2 linked regions of the Caenorhabditis elegans genome follow. The protein of the gene in region 1 purifies or fractionates together with the protein of each later gene. This does not show direct contact. Each region holds a gene or a part of one and is shown in the gene's direction. Other genes may lie near its edges.

Region 1 (4,092 bases):
TTGTTTTTTGGTGAATAATAGGGATTTTTCACAAATTCGGACTTTTCTTCTCTCTGTACCTTTTCGCCTAGTCTATAACCTGGTTATAAAAATAGTTATTCACTGAGTTTTTTTCGAGTTATTTGAGCTATTTTTGCTCAGCCTGAAACTTCAAGTTTTAATTTTCTAGAAAAGTGCAAATTCCCCAATATTACTTCCATGTGTTTGTGTATATTTCTTCTATTAGCACATTAAAAGAACAAAAATCATTGTGTAAATAACCCCGATTGATTGATAGTTGGAGCCAGTTGTCCTTCTCCCCCTCTTATGTTTCCGATGAGTGTGTGATACGGGAAATATCTGTGTTGTCATGGAGAGTTCTCACATCCGGACGGCAGGAAAACAGAGAAACTAAGTCTAAAGCAGTACCAAGCCGAGGTGCTCTAATTGCGTCTGCACTCTCTCTCTTCCATTCAAATTCGCCGTCCTTTGCACTTTGTTTACGCAGAAGAGGACGTCTTTTTCATTCTAAAAGTCTTCTGTTTCTAGCTTCATCAGATATACATACTGCGACTTGTTAATATTCTTCATATGGATCAAATCTTCCGCTGACGCATAAGGCTATTAACTCAACTTTTTCAATTTCCGTCTCAATCTTTTTCATAAATGAGCTCAAATAATGATTTCAATCAGAGTGAAATTTTAAATATCGAACATTTCTAAACTGCAGCTCTTCTCGTTTTTCAAAAAAAGGTTCAATTGTCTGTTGTTTTGACTTGGAGGTTAATTTATAGGCTCCTGGGGAATACAAAAATTAAGATTTTATTGCATAGAACTGCCTTAGCTTAATCTTCTCTGAGTGCATTTTGCACATTCTACCAGCAAACATCTCATCCTAATTTATTCCATCTTCTTCTCTTATCCCATCGTTTTTTCTTCACGATGCTTGTGTTTTTTCGGTGCCTCTTTCGTCTCCAACAACGTGTTTCTCCTTCTCCAGGACAGCCATTTTCGCTCACACTCGTCCTCCCCTACCAAACGCACACACACACATCGCTCACACGTACACTCACACACTCGAATTATAAGTCAACGAGAGGGAAGAGACGTAGATACACTTTTCCTTCTGCGTCTATTATCTCTTACGCATCTCTCAGGACAACATTTTTTGAAAAACGTGTGCGCTCTCCACGTCTCACCCGAATTCATGTCATCTGACAGCGTTTCAGAATAATTTTTCAATATAATTTGTTATTTTCTCGAATTGGTTCAACCTTTGTTCAATACTGTGCAGTTTTGGACTTATTCGTTGTTAAAATATAGGAAATAATATTATTTTTTTGTTGTGTTTTTCATGTATCGGGTCATCCATCAGTTGCATCTCTACTTTTCTCTCCCCGATTATCAATTGACAAACGTTCAATTACTGGCTGAACAACGTTTTTGATGCCTTTCTGTTTAAATTTTGTTTATGACCTGTGTTGAATACACTCGTCCATATTTTTTTCAAATTTCAAATTCAAGATTATTGAAGACTGTATTTAGAAAGATAGACAAGCATTTGTATAACTTCTACACGATTTCGATTTTTTTTTCGTTTTTCGTTTTGCCAAGAGCAAATACGCTTGCCTCTAGGCACTAAGCACTGGCCAAAACTCAAGAGAAACTGATAACGCTAGAACATACACTGCGACTTTTTCATTTTATAGCTTTTTCGAAATTGCAAATCGAAAAAATATTCGTTTAGTGTTCGGTTTTGTGATGTACGTAAATACCAATAGAAAAAAAACAATTTTTAATTCTTTCGCCTTGATCCAAACTTCCTATCAATCTTTATTTTTTAACATAATTATTTTATATGAACTAACTTTTTTTTTCAGCAAAAAAATGTCTGAAAAGCACAGTCTTCTGCAAGTGACTCCAAATCGTGAACTCGTGTTCACTGGCCCATTCAGTGATGTTGTCACATCACACATGACTCTCAAGAACACATCAACCAATCCAGTGTGCTTCAAAGTGAAAACAACGGCTCCAAAGCAATATTGTGTTCGTCCAAATTCTGGTGAGTGATGGATTTATTTGCATTGAAATCAATTTGATATGGAAAAAGTGAAATTAAACGCAAAAAGAAAAATATGATTTGTATTTAGACCTTATCTGTTAGACTGGTTGATTTTTAAAACTGAAGTTTACTTTGACCTTCTGATTTTGATTTTTTAGGCCTCCTGAAATCTGGTGACTCGAAACAAATCACAGTAATGCTTCAACCTCTGGAAGGAATTCCATCTGATGCAGGACGACATAAGTTTATGGTTCAATCGTGTGTGGCGCCTTCGGAAGATCTGCCAGATTTGGAATCGGTCTGGAAAATAATCGATCCAGCGGAGCTGACCTACAGCAAGCTTATGGTCACCTTCGTTGACAAGAGAGATCCAGCGTCTGGAGATGATACAAAAACCTTTGCGGTTAGGAACGAGGATAGTTTTGCTTCTTCTGGACAGGCACAGTGAGTTTTTACTTATAATGGAGGTTAAAAGAAGGTTAACAATTATTGTTTCCTTCATAAACTTCATTCAATAAAAAACTAATATTTGCAGAGAGCTCGGAAGTTCGTACTCTGGAACACCATCGCATGATGGAACCGTTAACTCCCTTCGCAAATCGTTGAAATCGACAGTTGACGAGAAAGAAGAATTGCAAAAGAAAGTACATGGATTGGAACAAGAAATCGAAGTCATGCTCAAGGTAATATCAGAAAAGAAATTTGAAAAAATTAATTACACTTTGGAAAAAAAAATATGTGTTCAATTTTCTACAAAAAATATTTTCAGAAGAACCGCAAGCTTCAACAATCGCATTCTGATGGAGCTCTTGTCGACGGTGCATACCCAACATTGCAAATTTTCCTTATTGCGGTTGCCGCTTTGCTCATCGGGCTTATTGTTGGCCGTCTTTTCTAAATTCTGAATCAATTCTTCCTTCATTTTCACTTTTAAGTAACTAGTGGTACTATCATTCACGTGCTTTTTTGCTGCCACAAACATTAAAACACACAAGCATTGCTCCATTCGGATTTTCATCAAATTTAACCTTCAAATCCTAAATTTTCTAACTTTTTCTCTGCCAAGGGCGAAATTCTGAATATTTCAAAAATCAAAATGTTATTTTCTGCAATGTAAATTGACATATTTAACTTTTCGGTTTTTTGAAATTTTGAATACTTGCCTCTTTAGTGAACGCAGCGCGCAAAAATTTCAAACTTTTTCTCAAACTACTTTCACTTCTTTCCTTTGTTTATTCGTTTTCCGTTTTTCCCGGCGTCTTCTAGACCATCATAGATCCGTCTAGTGACTGCCTATCATCATACCCGGTAGCCATTATCAAGAATTTTATTTATTTATTTTCCATTCTATGGTTCCCCGTTCCCCCAACCTTTTCTCATTTATTTTATGTGTACAACCATTGATTGATATAGGACTCCATGGATTTTAAGAAAGCCCCATGCTCTTTGAAACAACCAATTTAAGTCACATGATTTGTATATGGTACAATAAAATTTGATGTTTATGGTTTCCAATAACTATTTTTATTTTTGAATTTTTTCGCCGTATTATCTCGGAGTATTTACCTGGAAATTTACGCGACTCGACAATAAAATGTCACTCGAGTGATGTTTAAAATTAATCTTTTTTCAGATTTTCCAAAATGGCTGGTAAAAAAGCAGAAAAAGATGATATGGCAACAGTGGAATTCGAATCTTCTGAAGAAGTAAATGTTATTCCAACATTTGACAAAATGGGTTTGCGAGAAGACCTTCTTCGTGGAATTTATGCCTATGGATTCGAAAAACCATCGGCTATTCAACAAAGAGCAGTTCCAGCAATTCTTAAAGCACGTGACGTCATTGCTCAAGCTCAATCTGGAACCGGAAAGACTGCGACTTTTTCAATTTCCGTTCTTCAATCATTGGATACACAAGTTCGAGAGACACAAGCACTTATTCTTTCTCCAACCAGAGAATTGGCTGTCCAGATTCAAAAAGTATGGATATAATAAATACAGAGTTGCAATAAAAAACACATTTTGCAGGTAGTTCTTGCTCTCGGAGACTAT
Region 2 (3,598 bases), on another chromosome or scaffold:
CCAATGAAAGCTAGAAACAGGAGGTCTTCACGCAATAGCTTGGTGTACATAGATGGTCCTTCTACTTCTGAAAGTCATTCTTCAATGGTTCAACAAGTTCCCATCATCGACAACATTCCCGAAGTGCTCGAAAATGAGACAGCTGTCTGTTCCATTTCTAGTGAAGCAGATCATAATTCGAGAGGAATCAAAGATAATCAAGAATTTGCAATTGAAATCAGTGGGGAAGTGTCTCGAACCGACGACATTTGTGATGACTTTGCCGTGTTCCTCAAAAAATGCACAGTACTATTGACGAAATTTATTGACTCCTACTATGATTTCCGTTCAACTATGAAACTTAAGCCAGAAGATGCCATTGAGCACTGGAGTGCTGAACGTTTGACCAAAGAGGAACACGCCGCGAGGGTCACAAGATTTGATGTGGCGATCGCTAGAGCGACACGTGTGCAGTATAACATCGATATCAAGCTTCTAACAAAGCAAAGTTTTGTGTTTGACGATGATCGTGAAGCTGCCATTAATAAGAGGCTCGCCCGAATCGAGCGTTTTGTGAACGAACAACATGAAGAAATCAATTGGTTTTGTTTTTCAAATTTTTCACTCATGGATATTGGAGAAACGAAGGATAGATATTGTCTCGGCGATTTTTATGACAAGGTATTACAACTTTTAAAATGTAAAATGGCCACGAAATACTGAATTTGATAACGAGACTGTTTCAAAAATTAATTTTTTTTTTTTTGAAGTCTTGTTGTAAAATTCGGTTTTTAGGGTCATTTTAACTATTGAAACAACACAAAAGTTTGATATATAATGTGTATTTTTTTCGCAGGCTATCAGTATGATTCCAAAAGTGAAAGATGTCCCGAGTGTGGTGCAACTGGCGAAAGAGTGTAAGATGTGGTCCGCATTTGAACGAATTCTCAAGCAATACAATTTTGAGCCGCTGAAAGTTTTTGAAGAATTGCAAAAAATGCTTGAAAAGGTACATTTCAGTTGTTCTGTTCGAATTTAAATGTTTACATAAAATTAATTTTCAGGATTATTTTCTACCGAAAGGTAAGATCTTCTGCCAATTCTTGCTCAATGTCGCCCAACTGTTTTCCTATGATGTCGTTAAGAATGAATGGTCTTGCATCAAACAAATCGACGGGACGTTGTTTTCGGGAGTCCCATTTGATCGCGATGGAAGTGAGTTGGCTGAAAATTATTGAAAAAAAATTAGAAAATTACATTTTTCATCTGAAAAATTGGAAAGTTAGTCTGAAATTCTGAAATATCACAAAAGAAATGCGAAAACGATAAATTTAAAAAAAATTAAAAATCCAAATTAAAAAAAAAACCGAAAACTTCAGATAATCATAATAATCTATGTATTTTTCAGATCTACTCCCCACTTCTCAAAATTCGCCGACCGAATGCTCTTCTTGATTGTGTCATTTTTCTCATTTTTCCATGTAACACATCTAATCATTTCATTTTCATCTTACCATTTTCATATTTTAAACTTGCTGCACAATACATTTTTCCTTTTAAAAATCGTTTTTTTTTTCAGTCTTTTTTGGTTTGAAGCCAACAGTTATTTATTTACTTTTAAACAATTATTTCAAGTGTAATTGTTTTGCTTTTCAGGATCAATGGAGCATCGTGAATATGTTAAGAACAACATGCCATTGATCGGAATTGGCACGTGGCAGGTATTGACTTCGAATAAATCAATTTTTTGACTAAAAAATAAATTTAAGGTTCAAAAAGAAGAAATTCTTCGTCAAGTGATTGATGCAGGTTTCAAAGAAGGATATCGATTCATTGATACGGCACAAGTCTATAACAATGAAGCTAAAATTGGTAGAATCTTGGAAAAATTGCTTCCAGCAAATGGGTTGAAGAGGTAGGTTTTAAAAAATTTATAATTGTTTCTAAATCTTTTTTTAATCCTGCGAGAAAAAACTGGTTTTGGTGTTTCTTTGATTTGAAACCCATTTTCTCTAATTTTCAGCAAATTGTTTCGCTAAAAATGTTTAAATTGAAAAATGAAAAAAAATTCGACAAATTATATTCTAAACCAATAATCAAAGCAAACATTTAAAAAAATTTAAACTAGGTTATTCATTCAATATTATGTAATTCAAATATAGTTCAGCCACTTTTAATCTACAAAATTGAGAAATAATTTTTAAAAATTCAATAAAACCACAGAGCCACCAATTGAAGCTATCTTTTTTTCAGAGAAGACATCTGGATCACGTCAAAGTTAGCCCCATCTAATGCTGGCGTTAAGAAAGCTCGGGAAAGCATTGAGGAGTCACTGAGCAATCTTAAAGTCGAATATTTGGATCTTTTGCTCATTCACTGGCCTGGAAGTTCCCTGAAAAGCGAAAATCCGGCAAACAAGAAACTGAGAGTGGAAAGTTGGAACGTTATGTGTGAAATGATGGCTGAAGGAAAATTGCGTTCAGTTGGGGTCTCTAATTTTGAGATTTGTCATTTGGAAGAATTGAAAAAAGATTCTAATGTTGTCCCAGCAGTCAATCAAGTTGAGTATCATCCTCATTTCCATCAGGACGATCTGGTCAAATACTGTAACGAAAATAACATTCATTTCCAGGTGGGATTTTTCTAAATCTCGCTCTCTTGAAGTTTTTTTCAGGCGTACAGTAGCCTTGGCAGCCCAACATATCGTAAACAATTATCCGAAGAACCTCTGATCAAAGAACTTGCTCAAAAGTACAATGTCGAGATTCCTGTGCTCCTTCTTGGATTTGCTTATTGCCAGGGAATTAGCGTACTTCCGAGAACTACAAATCCAGAGCATGTTGCTACCAATTTTAAAGTTACTAAGCTGGCGGTCTGTTTCTAGATGGTTTTTAGTCCTAATGTCTAAAATTGGGATTTACAGATTACTCAAGAAGACATCGATCGTTTATTGGCTTTGACTGTCGAACACAAAACTTGCTGGGATCCTCGCGTAGTGGTTTGATTTCCAAAATCATTTATCATTATAAATTTAAAGCTACAAATAATCCTCTATATTCTAAATAGATGTATAAATTTTAAATGCCGAGTTATTATTTCTTGTTGTTGAAAGATCTCGTGATTGAGTCGTATATGGAAATTTTGAGCTGTCATCGAATATTTAATCTTCTTTCTTCGCTTTCGCGCCTTTTTTCTCCTTCTGCTCATTGTACAAATTGAGAAGATCGAATGCAAGAACACAGTTCTCTTCACTGAACACAAATGGAACAGCACGACGACTATCGTTGACTAGTGGACGACGAGCGATTTCCTTTGCGTCCCTAGAAATTACAGATTGGTTGAAAATTAAAATAAAGCTTAAATCTTACTTGAATACACAAATAGTTGGTAACTGTCGTGACATTGGATGAGCATTCACACGGAACCGCTCGCCTTCTTTTGCCCATCTTCCAATATCCAATTTCCCAAACTTCATGTTTGGAAGTGTGAACTTTTGACTCAATTCCGCAAAAACGGGTGAAGTATGTCTGCATTCTGGGCTCCATGTTGTGAAGAATTGAATAACCCAGATGGTATTTCGATTTCTGGTAAGTTCTTCGAAAAGCTGTTCACCTTGGAA

What was found. Proteins that work in one complex are often made in the same cells at the same time.
Region 2: the proteins of vpr-1 (region 1) and C35D10.6 fractionate together in Caenorhabditis elegans (co-fractionation; one large-scale study listed by BioGRID). This does not show direct contact.

What each region holds. Positions count from the first base shown.
Region 1 is NC_003279.8:5,867,722-5,871,813, reverse strand, and holds vpr-1 (Major sperm protein), read left to right. Parts: upstream 1-1,859; 5' UTR 1,860-1,866; coding exon 1,867-2,041; intron 2,042-2,199; coding exon 2,200-2,485; intron 2,486-2,576; coding exon 2,577-2,724; intron 2,725-2,810; coding exon 2,811-2,939; 3' UTR 2,940-3,548; downstream 3,549-4,092. Other genes in the region: F33D11.10 (RNA helicase), read left to right, coding at 3,685-4,020, 4,069-4,092.
Region 2 is NC_003281.10:4,857,704-4,861,301, forward strand, and holds C35D10.6 (NADP-dependent oxidoreductase domain-containing protein), read left to right. Parts: upstream 1-1,635; 5' UTR 1,636-1,640; coding exon 1,641-1,700; intron 1,701-1,748; coding exon 1,749-1,894; intron 1,895-2,232; coding exon 2,233-2,611; intron 2,612-2,653; coding exon 2,654-2,851; intron 2,852-2,902; coding exon 2,903-2,983; 3' UTR 2,984-3,069; downstream 3,070-3,598. Other genes in the region: C35D10.7 (ULP_PROTEASE domain-containing protein), read left to right, coding at 1-660, 836-988, 1,044-1,194, 1,388-1,434; C35D10.10 (Thioredoxin-related transmembrane protein 2 homolog), read right to left, coding at 3,140-3,299, 3,348-3,598.